Cricetulus griseus: one gene and its partners. The protein of the gene in region 3 interacts with the protein of the main gene of each other region in a pairwise test. Links are inferred from orthologs where the notes say so. Each region holds a gene or a part of one and is shown on either strand. Other genes may lie near its edges.

Evidence for each region.
Region 1: the proteins of Evl (region 3) and E3 ubiquitin-protein ligase TRIM9 interact in binary tests that used the Homo sapiens proteins (3 or more experiments, as listed by UniProt). The two-hybrid records come from large-scale screens. The link is inferred for Cricetulus griseus from reciprocal best matches to the Homo sapiens genes EVL and TRIM9.
Region 2: the proteins of Evl (region 3) and Sptan1 interact in binary tests that used the Homo sapiens proteins (3 or more experiments, as listed by UniProt). The link is inferred for Cricetulus griseus from reciprocal best matches to the Homo sapiens genes EVL and SPTAN1.
Region 4: the proteins of Evl (region 3) and Abi3 interact in binary tests that used the Homo sapiens proteins (3 or more experiments, as listed by UniProt). The link is inferred for Cricetulus griseus from reciprocal best matches to the Homo sapiens genes EVL and ABI3.

The regions. Positions count from the first base shown.
Region 1 is NC_048598.1:133,134,804-133,138,306, reverse strand, and holds the end of E3 ubiquitin-protein ligase TRIM9, read right to left. Parts: intron 2,691-3,503; coding exon 2,528-2,690; intron 795-2,527; coding exon 732-794; downstream 1-731. UniProt on the Homo sapiens protein: E3 ubiquitin-protein ligase which ubiquitinates itself in cooperation with an E2 enzyme UBE2D2/UBC4 and serves as a targeting signal for proteasomal degradation.
Region 2 is NC_048599.1:141,635,144-141,639,713, forward strand, and holds the start of Sptan1 (spectrin alpha chain, non-erythrocytic 1), read left to right. Parts: upstream 1-1,635; 5' UTR 1,636-1,774; exon of another isoform or gene 1,775-1,841; intron 1,842-4,570. UniProt on the Homo sapiens protein: Fodrin, which seems to be involved in secretion, interacts with calmodulin in a calcium-dependent manner and is thus candidate for the calcium-dependent movement of the cytoskeleton at the membrane.
Region 3 is NC_048598.1:186,226,167-186,230,521, reverse strand, and holds the start of Evl (ena/VASP-like protein), read left to right. Parts: upstream 1-1,474; 5' UTR 1,475-1,577; coding exon 1,578-1,582; intron 1,583-4,355. UniProt on the Homo sapiens protein: Ena/VASP proteins are actin-associated proteins involved in a range of processes dependent on cytoskeleton remodeling and cell polarity such as axon guidance and lamellipodial and filopodial dynamics in migrating cells.
Region 4 is NC_048600.1:108,994,330-108,998,638, reverse strand, and holds the start of Abi3 (ABI gene family member 3), read left to right. Parts: upstream 1-1,409; 5' UTR 1,410-1,526; intron 1,527-1,662; 5' UTR 1,663-1,792; coding exon 1,793-1,909; intron 1,910-4,309. UniProt on the Homo sapiens protein: May inhibit tumor metastasis. In vitro, reduces cell motility.

The DNA of each region.
Region 1 (3,503 bases), about 53 Mb from region 3:
ACAGATTCTAGTGTCTTGAAAAGTGCCTGTCCATAGCATTCTTAATTAAAATCTTGTATTAGCTAAATGAATCAAATCATTGAGTCCCCTGGCCTGCCCAGTGTCTACAGCCTATCTGAAAGCCTTCACCCTGCTGTGAATCTGTGTAGCTGATATATTTGTGCTTCAGGGTAGAGTATGACTTCTGGGTGCCAGGTACACTCTGCCTACCTCCCAAGAAGGAGCCATGAAGAGCTGACGTTGCTTGACAAGAAACAGGGCAAGAGCATTCTAGGAGTCAAATGGCCAACTCTAAATTCAACCTTTTTCCTACCTGCTCTCCCTACAACATCTTTGTGAGACCAAAAGCTTAAAAAAAAAGTTTCCAGGAGAATTTTCTCTTGGCAGTGCCAGTTAGGTAAGTCAGCAAAACATGATCAGAAAAGAAACAAAACAAACTCAGTCTACAAACAAAACAAAACAAAACCAAAAAAGCCAAAACCCCGAACCCTAAATTAAAGAAAAGCAACATGTGAAACAAAGGGAACTGGTGGGCGGCTGAGGTCCTCTGCGGGTTAGGACGTCTGGATGAGGAAGGAGCGTAGGTGAAGTGATGCGGAGAGGCTGACGGGATAGGGTGGCGCTGTAGGGGCGGAGATGGCAGAGGACCAGCTCCTCTCCTCTGTCTTCTACCGAGGCTGGTGGCTCCATGCTGTCCCTCTTGGACAGCTAGTGCCTTCCGCAGCATACCCTTAGGCTATGGAAGCTCTGCTGGAGTAGAAGTCGGGGACCGGAAGCCCAGTGTGGAGCGTGACCTGGGGAATGAGACTGTGAGCTATGCAGGACGCTGTGCTTACATTGATCTAATCACAGTGCGGGGTTGTGTGCCCTCAATTCGATAAGGGCCCATTCACTTCTCTTGAACATCTATCCTAAAGACATTAAAGGGACTTCTAGCGGGATTCCAGCTGCAGTAAGAGCCGGGCAACGATGGTGGGCCTCCAAACCCAGGAGACACAATCCCTACTTCTTTAAAAGTATTCTGGGAGACTGCATTTCTTTTGACTGAAGACAAGGCACTTGTGTGTAGGTAGTGAAGCCTTTGGCCTACACAAAGTGACCACGGCCCAAGTCTATGGACAAAGAATATATTAGCTTGTTCATGAGTTCCAGTTATGGACAAATCTTTCTGGGATTGAACAAAGGATTTTTAACAGAAGAAACATGGCACTTATGCTGTTGTGCCAATTTCTAGGCAATCTCAAATTATGCTGAATAGCTATGGGAAAAGACTAGAAGCATCTCATAAAAACTGCCACTTTCTCCTTCTTGTCCATACCATCCCTGTCAAGAGTCTTTGTTTAAAGATGCTGTAACATCCTTGAAAGCCTGAAGCATGACTAGAGTGGTAGTCTTTGGAAGGGAAATGTCTGAAAAGGTAGAATATTTACAATGAGTTTTTTCTTATATTCACTTCTACGGCAGTTTAAGCTTTCTGTCTTCTGATGTCAGGCTGGCCTCTGAAGAGTTAAATTTCATCCCCAGACAGTCCCACCTACTTGCAGAAAGCCAGAAGGCAGGGGTTGCTGGGTTGTAAACAGTTTTACTGCATATCCTCATAGACTGTAATTGATGTAAAAGAGTTTCAAGGCTGTGGCTGTAGGTGGAGGTATGAATCGTCTACAGGATTTTGTTTTCAAGTCCTATTTCAAGGCTAGTGAGGTGTATGTCAGGTAATGGGAGGACCAACTCAGGAGGGCTGTGAAGTCCTGGATTCTAACAGTGGTCGGCAGGACCACCCACACTCCTTGCAAGCTTTGCAACTCCCCTCTACTGCTCCCTGCCCCAGCCCACTAGCCTCTTTGCTGTTCTCTGCCCAACCTCGTGCCTTAGAAACTTGTAAGTTTGGGAACCTCTACCCAGCCTACCACCTTCTTCCTTCAGGATTCAGATCAGCAGTGACCACAACAAGGCCAGCCCACTGGCCACCTTGCTTAATAGTGGTAACTGGAATATAAGCTTAGGGAGGGTAAGATTTGTATCTGTTTATTTTCTCTCTCACTGATGACTATCAAATATTTACAACAGAGCTGGCATATTACAGGGGCCCTGTTGAGTAAAGGAGTGAGAAGAACCTGTTGTTTTGTATCTATAGGAAATTGAGAGTAACTGTGCTTCCCAGCCAACAGTGCAAGGCAGAGTGAAGGAGAGTGAAGCCTCTCCCGCCTTCTGATAAGGGTCTAATGTTTGCTTTTCTCGGGCATTCCTGGTGCTCCCTAGGAGTCATCTCATTGGCTTTCATGTCACTCTGTTGAAGACATTCAGCTCTAGTTAGAGATGAAACTAGAACAAAGCATGTAGGGAAGGGGAAAGGAGGCCTGTGTTTCCTGTGCGTGGGTGGCAAGGGCATGAGAAGGGGTCCGCTGGTGTGCAGTCTGCACCTCGGATCAGCTTCCCTCTTGGAGTTCTGAGGATTTTACTGCCCTGGGCAGACTTTGAAGCAGCAACCTGAGGAAGCTGCCCTTAGTCCCAGGGCCCTGGTGCTCACCTGCACATTTCTGTTCAGGCTGACAGCAGGAAAGAACAGGCCCTCCACGTTCTCAAATGCGATGGGCCCTTGCTGCTCATTGTTGATGAAAAATGTTAACGTTTTCCTATTTAAGTCGAGGAGGACTCCAATGGTGGCCCCTTTTGTGATCCCTCCTTCAGTTCTGTGGGAAAAGGAAGAAAAATGGAGTCTCATTAGCTCATTGCCATTCTTAAATCTCCCCCTGTCGGTTTGTCGAACTTTTCTTTATTTTTGCTTTTGATATTTGGTACCGGGGATTGACCCTAGGGCAAGTGCTCTGCCGCTGCATTTATCCCCAGTTCTCTTTTTACTTTTTGAGACAGGGTCTTATCAAATTGTCCAGGCTGGCCTTGAACTTCCACCACAGCCCAGGCAAGCCTGAAACTTGGCAATCCTCCTGCTGCAACTTCCCAGGTAGATAGGACTATAGGCCCGTCCCACCAGGCCTTGCCAAACCAGGATTTTGTAACCTGTTTACATTTTCCCCCCAGCTCAGCTTTTTTTGCACTTTTTTTTTTTGAACATAAAACTTTAAAGCCTTAGATACACTATATACTATTTATATTTGGTGTATCCTTGCTTTGCATATGAAAATATGATTTAGATTTTTTTTTCGAGACAGGGTTTCTCTGTATTGCTTTGGAGCCTGTCCTGGAACTCGCTCTGTAGACCAGGCTGGCCTTGAACTCACAGAGATCCACCTGTCTCTGCCTTCCCAGTGCTGGGATTAAAGGCATGCACCACCAACCCCCAGCTGATTTAGATTTTTTGCTCCCCCGAAATTTCCACTTCCCTGTGGAGGCAGCCACCCCTCCTCGAAGTCCCTTATTTACTGTGCCTTGCTGAGAGTGAACTGGTACACATGGAATCTGAGCTGTAACAGGAGAAAACTGACTACAGAAGCCTGGGCCAAAGTAGCCTTTCAGCTACTCCAGCACATCAGCTGCATTTTAGA
Region 2 (4,570 bases), on a different chromosome or scaffold from region 3:
TTTAATCCCAGCACTCAGGAGAAAGAGGCAGGGGGATCTCTGAGTTTGAGGACAGCCTGGTCTATAGCCAGAGCTACAAAGGGAAACACTGTCTGGAGGGAGGAAAAACAAAAAACAAACAAACAAAAAAAACAGTTCAGGAAGCAGCTCCCCAACCTATTTTCTCTGTAAAGATTGCAGGAAATGCCTCCTTTCCTCAAGATTTGTGAAGCTGCTTCTGGGGTGTGGCCATTCCTTTTGTGTTTCTCCACTCCAAGGAAAAGGACTGGGAATCTTCACTATCATGCCTACAGCCAGAGCAGCTTAAAAGTCACAATGCAGATCCTAGGCTCTGGAGAAGCCAAACTGCAGAGGAACAGAAATATCAGGACAGGGCCTCACCCGAGTTCTGGAGCAAGGCCCAGTGTCTTTGTAATTATTTAACGAGGAGGGCGGTTGGTAACCAGGAGGCTGGTGCCTGGGGGAGCTGCAGAACTCCCAGTCGGCCTGACTACACAGGAATGAGCTGGGTGCTACTCGAATGGTTGCTACACAGCTGTCTTCCAAATGGAGGAAGGGAAAGAGCTTTTGCTGGAGGGGAGCCTGGCTACAGAGTTCAGAGCCAGGCCCTGAAATACAGAAATTGCAGAAATCTTGTTTTTCCTCTTCTAAAAAGTCCAGCACCACCTGCAACTGCTTGTGTTAAAATCTTAGCTTTTCTAATTGCTTCGTACCTGACCCGGGTAGAATGCTAGCCTTTATGGCATCAGGGTGCTCATTTGTAAAACAAGGAAGGCAATATCCACCTTGTAAAATTAGTGCAAAGGTTAAAAGCCTAAAGAGGTAGCACACAGTGTCACCTACACAGCAAAGTTCAATTAATTGTGGGGAAAGAAACACTAATGTCTTTTTTTTTTTATCAACGAGAATGAACGAACCCTGTTCTACTGCAACAGGAAGAAAAAATGCTGAATAATTCTCCAAATCCTGAAATAAAAGCTTAATGCCACAAACCAGTCTTTTTCTTTTTCCTAATCAGGATTTGGTTGCTTTTTTTTTTTTTTTTCCCCTACTATCTCAAACACAGGGCCCCAAAATCATCTGATTTTCTTGGCCCCAGCCCCCAACAGAACAGGAACACTCGGGGCTCCCAGCGCCAAGCCTCCTCCTGAGAAAGTGGAGAGGGAGAGCCAACATTCTGGTGAGATCACCCGAAAAGGACAGCGCGTTTTTCCGGCCAGGGCAGCAACATCCCTAGCTTGACTGCGGCGATGGGTCCCGCCCCGCCCTTCGCCGCAGTTCCGGAAGGGCTCCCAGGGGCGGAGGGGCGCGGCACAGATTCTCTGCAGGACGGACTGGGCGGGGCAGGATTGCAGGACCCACGCCGCGGCGGGCGGAGGCGGTGACTCCTCTGCGCCGCGCCGCGCCGCGCCGCGCCCCGAACCCTTCACGCGCGCCCCCGAGCTCCCCTTGCGCCTCCACCCTCGCGTTGCTTATCCCAACCCCCACTCCCCCCGCACCGCTGCCAAGATCCCTTCCGGACGCGCTCGGCCCTTTCCGTATGGCAATCGAGCGGCGAGTCCCGCCCCTCGCGTCACCAACCCGGGAGCCTTCCTCGAGCGCGCGCTCGGCCGCCGCGGGGGCGCGCGCGGTCGCCTATAAAAGCCCCAGCGCGCGCGCGTCGCCGCCACTAGCCGCTGCGGAGCGAACGGCGTGAGGCAGAGGCCGCGGCGCCGCATCTTTTTCCTCAGCAGCCCTCAGCGCGGCGACCCACGCCCCTCACCCCCGGGAGCCGGTGAGAAAGGGCGGCGGAAGGGGAGGGAAGGGCCGAGGGCTGCGGAGCACCGCAGCGGTGCGGACAGGTGAGCCGTGGGGCCTCACGGGCGGCTCCGTGGGCCGCCGCTGCCGCCGCCTTTGTGGCGCGTGGGTTGCGGGGCCGGGCGGCGACCTGGCCTGTCATGGGTGGGGAAGGCGCGCGAGGGCCCCTCCCTGTGCCCGCGGCCCCACCCATCGCGGCAGGTGGTGGTGGGTGGTCCTCGATGGCACCCACCCGCGAGCGTCCCCCCACCCCCCACTGCACTGCATCCGCACCATCCGTGCCCGCACCTCGTGGAAGAGGACGAGCCTGGCGTCTGCAGTGAAGGGCTCTCTGACCTTAATTTCATCCTGTATGGCGATCCCGGGCCCTCAAGCCGCAGAACGGTCTCCTTTTTCTTTCCTGGTAATAAATGTCTTTTTCTCTCCAGTGCTGACCTGCTCCTGTACAGTAGTTAGATGCGGCGCCACTTGGTAGGAGATACAAATCCAATAAATAACTTAATAGGTTACAGCTCTTCTCTTTCTTTTTATGTGAGACTGGGTTTATTTGTTTGTTTTTAAGTCGAAATTAATATATTTTTTGGCCAAATTTTTGCCACCGTGCCACTGTGGAGTGATAGAGCAATCTTTTGTCTGTGTCTGAAGCTGTCCTTGTAAATTTGATGAAATGCTTCTCAACGAAAAATTTTATTTTAAAAGCCTCTCGGGTACTGGAAGTACATATGTATATAAAACAAGGGGCTTTGGTGTAAGTACGGCTCGATGTATTTTAAATGAATAGCCCAGAAAGCTGGGGTGAGATAATTTTTAGCTGCTACACTTTACAGGGTCCTTTTGACTGCCCCCAACACCCCAATATCTCTTCAAACTCTTATTGTGTAGCCCATGTTGGCATGGAATTTGCTAAATAGCCTAGGCTGGTCTCAAACTCAGGTTTTTCCTGCCTCAGCCTCCCAAATAATCAGATATATACCCCCAAATATTTTAAGTTGTCTGTTCTTACCCTTGGTATTTTCGAAAAGCTAATCATCATGGCTGTCAAGGAATACGAAGTATTTTCATAAAGAAACTGCGTTGTCATAGCAATTGGACTTAAGTAAAGCAGAATGTATCAAAGATGGCAGGGTGGGGGTGTCTTGCAGCCAGGAAACAGGAGTTTAAGAATAGCATCAGCAACAGTGAGTTGCATGAAGCTATCGAGCCAAGGATCCCACTCATACTAAATGTCTTAGATTTTAAAGGTCAAATTGAAGTCAAAGTTGGAAAAAAAAAAAAAGTGCTGCAGTGGGGAAAAAAGAGCTGCAGTAAGATCCCTGCAGGAAATTAACAATAAGCCTTTTTTAGTAACTGGGCCATTAATTCCTCAAAGGGACCCTCAAAGTGTGTTGACTGTTATCCAGGGACCTAGGTAAAAAGAATGGAACACAAGGTTTGCCTTATGCCAGACAAGTGTGAAACACTTCTTAGGGTAAATCCAGGGCCTAAGGGCTTATTTCAAATATGTAGTCCCACTCCTTACTTTTTGAGACAAGGTCTTGATATGTGGTTCTTTCTGGAACTATGTAATTGGTTGTAGCTGGTCTCGAACTCACTATGCTCCTGCCAACAAGCCTAGCTGCCACCAACCTTGGCTTTTATTCTTTTAAAGAGATGAGGCCTTGCTATGTTATCTAAAACTCCTGGGTTCTGGCCTAGTGCTTTATCCTCAGCTTCCTGAGTAGCTGGGTCTGTGGCAGGCAGGAGCTGCTGATAGTGCCAAGTTTGGGCTTGGCTGTATGCTTTGTAATAATCTAATAATTGAAGAAACTGATGTCAAGTAATCTAATGAACAAGTTTAAGTAGGGAGAGTGTATTAAGTATATCTTTAAGTTCCCTGGATTAGAATTTTTCTATTATTTTCCTTCTCTGCTTTCATCTCAAAGGGTGGGGCCTCTGCGGATATTGTGAAATGACTCTTAGGAATAGCTCCCCCCATCCTTTCTCTGGAACATTAAAAGGACAGGAGATCTGAGGGCAGCCTGCTTTTGTAATTAGTCCTCCCTGGCTACTGGATAACTAACTCCTCTCTGCATCTGGGCCTGTCACAGCTCATGAGCTGTGTGGCCTTACAGAGGAATGCAGTGATACGATGGCAAGTGCTGACTCCAGGAATGCAGAGGTCTGCATAGCTGATCACATAGAGCTAGCTGACTGGAACAGCTGTGCAATGGACCAGCGTCTTTCCCATCTCTCTTGCACATACTGCTTATACTTGTTTTGAGTAGGAAATAATAGTATTTTGTAAGGGAACTGCACCAACTAATGACTTAATGCTTTTACTTAATTACTTTTACTATGCAAATTCCTAAAATCTTTGAGATTCCTATTTCATCTGAATGTGGATGAGAAGCGGCCAAATTTATTTTTAAAAGAGGCCATATTTATTTTTAAAAGAACATTCAGTATTCAAAATCAACACTTGAATGCCGGGCAGTAGTGGTACACACCTTTATTTTCAGCACTTGGGAGGCAGAGGCTGGTGATTCTGAGTTCAAAGCCAGCCTGTACTAAATAGTGAGTTCCAGGACAGCCAGAGCTTCACAAAAAATGTTTGTCTTGGGGTGGGGGTGGGGGGGAGACAAAACAATCAAACAAAAAATCAATACTGAGTCCTAAAAGAGTGTTCGATTTGGTCAAGGCAGCCCATTAGGTGATGGTAATTGTTAAGACATAGGAGCCTTGGTTCTCTTAATACATTTCAGATTCCTGGTGGGATTTGGATACTGGGGAAATC
Region 3 (4,355 bases):
TCCCTCCAAGTCACAGGAGGGTGACAACTTGTGAGATCCCAGGGGCAGCAGGGAAGACACCCAATCTGGAGATCAGTGGCCAAGTGTAGGAAGAGCAGCAATAAGCCAGGTACCAACCAGGTCTAACCCTGTCTCTCCTGAGCACACCTGGATGCCTTTCGGGTGAACCGAGTCTTGAACATCTGTAAGTTTTAGGACGTCTCTTCTGTAACAAACCAAATCTGGATCCCAAGAAGACAGGCACAAATGAGGTCAGGAGGGCTACAACCCAGGCACTGCTAACAGTACAGCAGGTTGAGGAAGCCAGTAGGATTGCTGTCTTCCAGCTCATAGTGCTCTGTGAATGCCCTGGAAAGCCTGTACAGTAGGGTTCCACTTGCCACCCGGCACCCTCGCGGCTCAGCCTTGCCTCCCAAATCACGCCCTGCACCTGCCCTGTCCTCTCTTAGCTCTGTCATCAGCAGGGCTTCCCTGGGGACTCCGCCCCTCCCGGCTTCCCCGCTTTGCTCCAGATCTACGCCCAGACCCAGGACCCCCCAAGGCCTTCCGGCAGAGCTCCTCCCACTTTCTCCCTATTCACTTTTTCCTCAAAGCCTCTCCTTGTTTCCCCTGGGTCCCCACGGCTCTGCCCCCAGGCCTGGTCCAGAGGTCAAGTCCAGGTCAAGTCCAGTCTCTAGATACCCTTATCTTGAAGTTTAGCCTTGCAGCCTCTGGGCCCTAGGTCACGCCCACTACCCCGCCTCCTAGCTCCAAGACCCCAAGGCTTTCCCGCTGAGGTTGGCACCTGTCTTTCTCTTGCACACAAGGTCACACCGGCTGCTCCGACCGACCTGGAACTCAGTAGGCTAACCTACCTGTTCCTCTAAACTACCGTTTCGCCTTTGGGCCCTAGGCCCCGCCCCTGCCCCGCCCCCAGGCAGGACTGCCCAACCACAAGGCTTCGCCCCGCCCCTCCAGACTTGGCTCCGCCCCGCCCCGCCCCCTCGCGCTCCGCCCTCCTGGAGGCGCGGACCGTGGCTCCCCGCGCCTTTTGTGTGCAGCTCCGCCGCCGCGCGCGCCCTTTCCCTCCGCGGCTGGCGACCGAGGGGGGCGTCGGCGCGCGCAGTCCCCTCGGCGGGCGGAGGGGCCCCTCGGCCCCGCGTGCACCGCGCACCCCATCCGCCGCCCGGGAGTCTCGGACGGAGGGACGGACGGACGCGCGCGCGCGCTCCCCCGCTCCCCGGCTCGCTCGCTCGCTCGCACGCTCGCACGCTCCCGCCCGCGAGACCCCGCCGCTCGCCCCCTCCCCCGGCCGTCGGCGGGCGGCACGCGCACGCGCCGGCCCGGGCACGCGCGCCGCCAAGATGGCAGGCCGGGGCCCAGCTGTCAGTCGCTACCGCCGCCGCCCGCCGCCGCCGCTGCTGCCCCGCAGCTAGCGGCCCGGACGCCCGCCGGAGAAGATGAGCCCCGCCGCCGCCGCCTGCAGCCCAGCCAGACGCGGAGCCGCCGCGCCCGGGGCCGGCTGCCCCGCTAGCGCCCCGCCGCGCCGCGCCGCGCCGCGCTTCACCCCCGGCCCCCGCGCCCGCACGGCAGCCACGATGAGGTGAGTCGGGGCCGCGAGCGCCCGGCGCGGGGTGCGGGGTGCGGGGTGCGGTGCGGGAGACCCAGGCGGCCCCGGAGCCCCCGAAGCCGCGGGGTCCGCGGGAGGCCGCGCGCCGGTCCCCGTGTCTTCCCACCGAGCGCGCCGCCGCCGCCGATGCGGAGCTCTCCTCCCCCTCCAGGGCGCCGCCTCCTCACCTTCTTTATGACCTGTCCCCTTTCGCTTGCAAACCTGCCGTCGTGTGTAAATAAATAAATAAAGGTATGGCTACTGATGTGCCATTCAGCCAGGGAGCCCGGTCAACACCCAGAAACTCGCCGCGCGCCCTCCTCATTAGCAGCAGCCACCCACCCTCTCCAGGTGAAACGTGCCCTGATTTCTGGGGTGGTGTGTGCTTGGTTTTTTGGGTTTTTGTTTGTTTGTTTGTTTGCTGTGTAATTTTTATCTTCTAAGCACTGAAGTGTCCGACTGTAGATTCGTTTATTCGTTTCTTCCGTTTTGTGAGCTGTATCTAAATCAAATAATGCACTATGTAATTTTGTGTCTGGCTTCTTTCATTAGAGGTATTTCTGAAGTTCGTCATGTTTCTGCCATCTACTGCCCTGCATAGTATATAGATTTATCCATTCTACTACTGTTAGTGGACTTTTGAATTGTTTGTAGCTTTTGGCTGTAAACGCTGTAGTGAATATACCTGTGTACTTCCCAAAGCCTTCATTTCTCTTGAGTATAAATTATACTAACCCACAAGTAGGGGTTTTTTTTTGCTTGCTTGTTTGTTTTGAGACAGGGTTTCCCGTGTAGTCCTTGCTGGCCTGGAACTCACTTTGTAGACTAGTCTGGCCTCAGACTTAAAGATCCACCTGCCTCTCCCTGGGATTAAAGGCATGTGCCACCACCGCCTGGTGAGATTTTTTTTTTTAATATAAAAACATTTGTATCTTGTGCTGTAGTGGATAAAGCAAAATTCCCAAAGTGGCGGTACCAGTTTACATCAGCAAGCATTTAGTAGCTCTTGTTTAAAATCCTTCACAATCCTTGGTAGTGTCTGCCTGAAATTTTAGCGTGAGTGGCAGTCCATCAGAGTTTTAACTTGCAGTTTCCTGTTGACTAATGAGACTGATTGTCTTTTTGTGTTTGTTTGGCATCTTTTGTAAAGTGTCCATTTAAATCCTGTCCAATTTTTCTTGAGGGGTTTACTTGTCTTCCTAATTTTTTAGTGTTTCTATTTCTAAGTGAAGATGATAGCTTGCTGACATCTTGCAGAAATCTCAGTGTTTTGCTTTTCACATGAATTGATACTGTTCACCTGGAATTGATTTTTTTGTATAACATATGAAGTAGTGATTATGTCTCATTTTTACCTGACATCATTTATTCCTCAGTGTTTATCAAGGCCGTCTTCTTCTTCAACTGTGTTGCCACCTTTGTCATTTTCTCCTGAAGAACTTCTTTTAGTGTCTGAGTGCTGCAGGGTTGGGTATCAGACCCTGAGTCTTGCATGCATCCACTGAGCGATAGCTGCTTTGGCTTTTACGTATATGTATGTATGTGTGCATACATGTTTGCATGTGTGGCCACACACAGGTTTGAGGTTGGCATTGGGAGTCTTCTTCCATAGCTCTCCAATTTATTCACTGAGGCAGGGGGTCTCAGTTGAACACACAGCAGCCAGTATGGGTAAGATGCACTAACCATCCTCTTGGTCCTGTCTCCTTCTAACAGCTTGAATTGCAAGGAGGCTGCCACACCCACACAACTTTTTTTTTGGGGGGGGGGGTGGGCCTGGTTTTCCAGGCTGGGTTTCCCTATAGCCTTGGAGGCTGTCCTAGAACTAGCTATTGTAGACCAGGCTAGTCTGGAACTCATAGAGTTCTGGGATTAAAGGTGTGCGCCACTGCCTGGCCCCACACAACTTTTATATGGGTTATATGGATAGACCTTCCTCATGTTTGCATGGCTAGCAATTTATCCTTGGGACCACCTCCTCAGCTTGTCTTTGTGTTTTTGTGGCAGGGTCTTGTCCTGTAGCTCAGGCTGCTTAGGAATACAGTAGCTCAGAGTGGCCTAGAACTCACCATCTTCCTGTCTGCTGCGATTTCGAGTGTATACAGCCAGGCCGGGTCCCTTTAGTATCACGTGCGTGCGTGCGTGCGTGCGTGCGTGCGTGCGTGGCTTTGCTGGCAACAGATTGTTAGATGTTGTTTGAAAATGTTTTACCCTTCACTTTTTTTCTGGTTCATAAACAACTTTATTGAGATGTAGCTCATGCCACAAAACACCCATGAAAGCATGCAGTTTGTTGGTTTTTAGACTATCCAGAGTTGTGCATTGGGACCTTTCCTCCATTTCAAAGAATCTTTTCACTAATTAGTTGCAGAACTCGGGACTTCCCTTGCCTAAGCATTTGAAAGCTTTCTCATAGTCTGGCTTGATTGTTCCTGTTGAGAAGTCACTTGTTACATCGTTGTTCCTTTGATAGTAGGTCTTGATTTGCCTGCTTCTGGTGTTTTGGTTTACTTTTGGTTTTGAGATAGGGCTCACGCTGTAGTCCAGGCTGGTTTCAACCTCATGGCAGTCCTTGGCCTCTTGAGTCCTGGGATTACAAGCCTGAGCTGTTACACCTGGCTCTGCTTTTAACGTGTTCTTTTTACCTTTCATTATCAATAACCTCCCCTCCCCCATGAAGTTAGTCTAGCCCACGCTGATTGCATTCTTCCTGCTTCAGCCTCCCAAAGTCTGGGATGATAAGTGTGCAGCAGTGCTTAATCTCAAT
Region 4 (4,309 bases), on a different chromosome or scaffold from region 3:
ACCCCAGCCCAGTGTGCTCAAAGCCTCCTTACCTGCTAATGCTCTCTCCAAATCACCAGTCCAGGACCCAGACACGATGGTGTTTGAACCTCCTAGAGCCTCATCAGCTGAAAATCTTCAGATAAAGCAGATGGTCAGCAAAGCCTAATCTCTAATGCCAAAGCTGATCCTGAGCTCAGTGTTCTGAGTCCTGATCCCCGAAGCCCTCCACTCCTCCACAGCAGACACTGACAGTCACCCACAAAGTAAAAAACAGGCCACCTCCATTGTGGGCCCTGGACCACATCAGCCGCTCTCCTTCAGTGACCCCCCCCCCCGCCCACTCTACCCCCACCTCACAGCTTCCCTTCAGCCCACATGCTCCCCTTCCCTGTCTTTTCCCATCACAGAGCCTGCTCCTCCCCAGACAACACGCCCCAGACTGGCTCTAGCTTTCCGGATCCAGAAGCCCTGTGTCTTCCTTTAGGGAGTTCCGTAACTCCACCTTACAAGGGTCTCCAGGCTCACTCTCCAGTCACTCAATAAAAACATACCCTCGCTTCAAAGCTCAACGCTTCAATCCAGGGGCTGTGGTCACCCCAATGCCATGCCCTTTGCTTCTCGGCCTCCTCAACCTCCCTAGGGCGGGGAGCTCCCTTATCTTCAGTTCCCAAAAGCCACTTACAACCTGCTTTTTCTCTCTGCCTCTCCCAGGGCTACCTGATGACTATGACATTTAGCAGAGCTGAGCTTCTGGTCTGGCTGACATTTGTCCAATAGCAAGGGACTCTCTTGAGGGAATGTTAAGGAACCAGTGTGGTTAGTGAGGGTTCCTCTTCTGTCAGGAGGATGGCAAACTGGGAGGGGGAGGGGATGTAGGGGAGGGGGATGGAGGCCATCCTTGCCACAGGATCAAGGCCCACTCACAGCCGGGTGCTCCAAGAACTCAAATTTAGTTCAGAATCATCAAATCCATTCAACTCCCAGCTAATACAATGAGCCCCACTCAACACTCTGTCCACCAGTGACGCCTCAAGCCCACACATCCATCGGGAATGGTGTCATCCCACACCCAAGGCCCTCTTGTTGCTCATCTGAGTCCCTCGTTTATTTGGTCAATTTTATCTTCTCCTGCCTCTGTCAGGCACAAAACACGGGTCACGGGACTTCCTACCTGACCCTTCACAGGCTTGCCCACAGTTCTCCAGGAACTCTAGACGGTCTTCCTGGTGTCTAACCCTGAGACTTCTTGCTGCTGCATGGGCTGTTTTCCATTGTTGCTGCACAGCCAGCCCCCGCCCCCCATGACTTATCTCCATATCCTATCCACCCTGCACTCCCTCATCCCTTGGTGACTCATCCCCAAGCTTCCCAAGGAAGCCCCCACCCTCTGCCCTTTCCTCCCCTCTTCCATGAGTGGAAAATCCACCCCCATAGCAGGCCAGCCCCTTCCTCCTGTCTCTATTACCCCATCCCCCCATGGACTAGCTTCCTCTCCAGGACCAGGGAGCAATCACAGATGCCCGGACCTTGGCTTCCTTTGCCTGGTGAGATTGGGAGGCTGAGCCCCCAAACAGGCCCCTGGCTTCCCCCCTCGTCTGAGCAGGGGACAGAGAAGCACAGGCCCAGGACCCAGGGTCTGACTTCCTCTTGTCCCGGAATGAACATGCCTACCCTTTGCAGGCAGGTTTGGGTCTCTCACGCAGAGGAAACCAAAAGCAGAGAGAGGGAGGGAAGGCAGAGCGGCCAATCAGGGGCAGGGTGAGGCTCAAAACCAGCAGGCTCCCCAGGGAACCCCACCGAGGCCTGAGCCATGGCGGAGCTGCAGCAGCTTCAGGAGTTTGATATCCCTACGGGCCGGGAGGCTCTGCGGGGCAACCACAGCGCCCTGCTGCGGGTGGCCAACTACTGCGAGGATAACTACGTGCAGGTAAGTGGAGAGAGTGCATGCCAAAATACCCCTGGAGGGGACTTGCAGCCCGGTCCCCCATGCAGGGTTATCTGACAGGTGCCTGTTGTCGCCTTGACTGAGCAATCTTCAGGCTTCAGCATCACCCCACATTTTCCAAGCGCCCCCGCACTTGTTCTTTCTTACATGGCCTCAGAAGTAGAGGATGTGTCTACTTCACTCTCTATATAATCCTACCTTGCCCCAGCTCATCTCTCATCTCCTACAAAGACCCACAAGACCCTTTCCTCTCTCAGGTGCTGGTACCATTTGCAGGCTGGCTCTAGGGGAGTCGTCAGGAAACTTACCACACTCTAGGGAGTTTGTTCCTAGATGTTTGAGGGAGAACAGAGGAGGGTCTGACCAGGTCAGGATGAGAGAAGAGGTCTGATGGGGCTTACAGCCTGGCTGCTGAGAAACGACGAGGAAGGAGGAACTCTACAGTAGTCTCAATTTTTTTATTTTTGGGGGGTTCTTGAGACAGGGCCTCACTGTATGGCACAGGCTGTCCTTCAGTTCTCTGTGGCTCAGGCTGGTCCTTCTATCTCAGTCTTCCCTCAGGGCTGGGATTACAGGTTCCCACTGCCTCTCCTGGCTGTTGTTTGTGTCGTGTCATTTTGTTTTGGTTTCTTAAGGAACTGGGAATGGAGCCCAGGCTGTCTGGGAAGTGTGTTTCTGCTGAGTTAAGCTCCACTCCACCCTGGGGTAGTCTTGCTCATCTTGTGCATATTCCATAGCATTGGCTCCTGGGAATGGAAGAGAGGTGGAGGGCCTCGCAACTACCCATCCATCCCCTTGTCAGTCCTCACAGTCACCTTGTGAGACAACTCCTGTTTTATAGATATGAAAACGGGAAAGGAGGTGACACGTCCAGGGTCACCTCGCTCTGGAACAGCAGAGCCAGGCACGGCTTCCCTGACTTCTCACCTGAGGTCCTTCCTCTCCATCCTTCTGTCTGTCTGACACAGTGTATGACTTGGGACAGTTTATCTGCACTCTGTCCTTGGTTCCCTCTGCTCCATTAAGAATGACAGGTTAAGTCTGCAGCCCCTTACCCCTGGCCAAAATGTGTGACAACACCAGGTTCCTCATCCTATATTAAGGGGACTTGAGAGGAAAAGGGAGCAACTGTCTGTGGGAAATGGCAGACCAAAGAGGAGCAATGACAGCAAAGTTCTCTCTGTACCTTCCCACAGCCTCTTTTTTGTCCCTACACCAGTGGTGAGAGGTGAGCACCATTTACACTTCACAGCGAAGAAGCTGATATTCGGAAAGGGTTAAACTGGGATTCAAACTCAGAATTCTAGTTGGTTGTAGTGGCCATATCTGTGATCCCAGCACTTGTGGGGATATAGGAGGGGGACCGCCAAAAGTTTAAAACCTGCCTTATAGTCTCTATGTGAGTTCAAGCCAGTCAGGATTACACAGCAAGACACTAAAACAACACAGAGACCAAAACAACAAATCAAAACCCCAAGCAAAAAAGCAGGCAGAATTCTGACTTAGAGCCCAATCACTGACCCTTCAGACCACAGTGCTGCCTTGCCTGTCATTCTGGTGGGTGTGATGAGTGATCAGCCTGGAGACAGATGATCTGGAATGTGGCTTTTGAACCAGCTCTCTCCCACTACTAGCTCTTGGGCATGCTTCCCTGGCAGGGATGGAAGCAGCTCTTTCCCGCACCTGAAAGCGCTTCTGGTGGGTCCAATCCCATGTATGCAATTGGTGTGCACATGGGATCTGAAGCCAAAAGCTGAGTCCCCAGGTCTACCATCTACTGACTTAGGAATCTATGGTGAGATTCCCATTGGTCTTTCTCTCCTTCCTAAGATCTTCCTTCCTTCTTTCTCTCTTTCTTCCTTTCTTCCTATCCTGACATTGTCACTCTGCAGCTCAGGCTGGTCTTGAATTCATGACCTGTCTGCTTCAGTTCCAGAAGGCTGGGATTCCAGGCCTGAACCATCATTTGGGAGATGGGAGGAGTTCCTCTTAGAAGCTATACCTTCTCCAAGGTGATTATAAGTATTGACTGGAACAGTGTGCTGAAGCATTTGCCCAGGGCCCATCATCCTGTAAGGAGGGCAGGATAAATGTAGCTATAACTGCTGCTGTTACCATGTCAGTAGTGCCGTGGTGATGGAACTCCCTCTGTTGAGGTGACAGCTTTTGCAAACATACTCAGGGTATAAGAAACCCTGACCCAGGTTGGAAATCCCTGGGTTCCTTTGTGCAGAGTGCTGGCTCCTAGACCATGCAATCAATAACCATCCCTGCCTGTCATAAGAGGATAGTTTCGGGTGGTGTCTTTCATACGGTCTCCATCCCATCCTTCGCCCACTAACCAGGTGTCAGAAGCCCATGGGGAACAGCAGCAGGCAGATG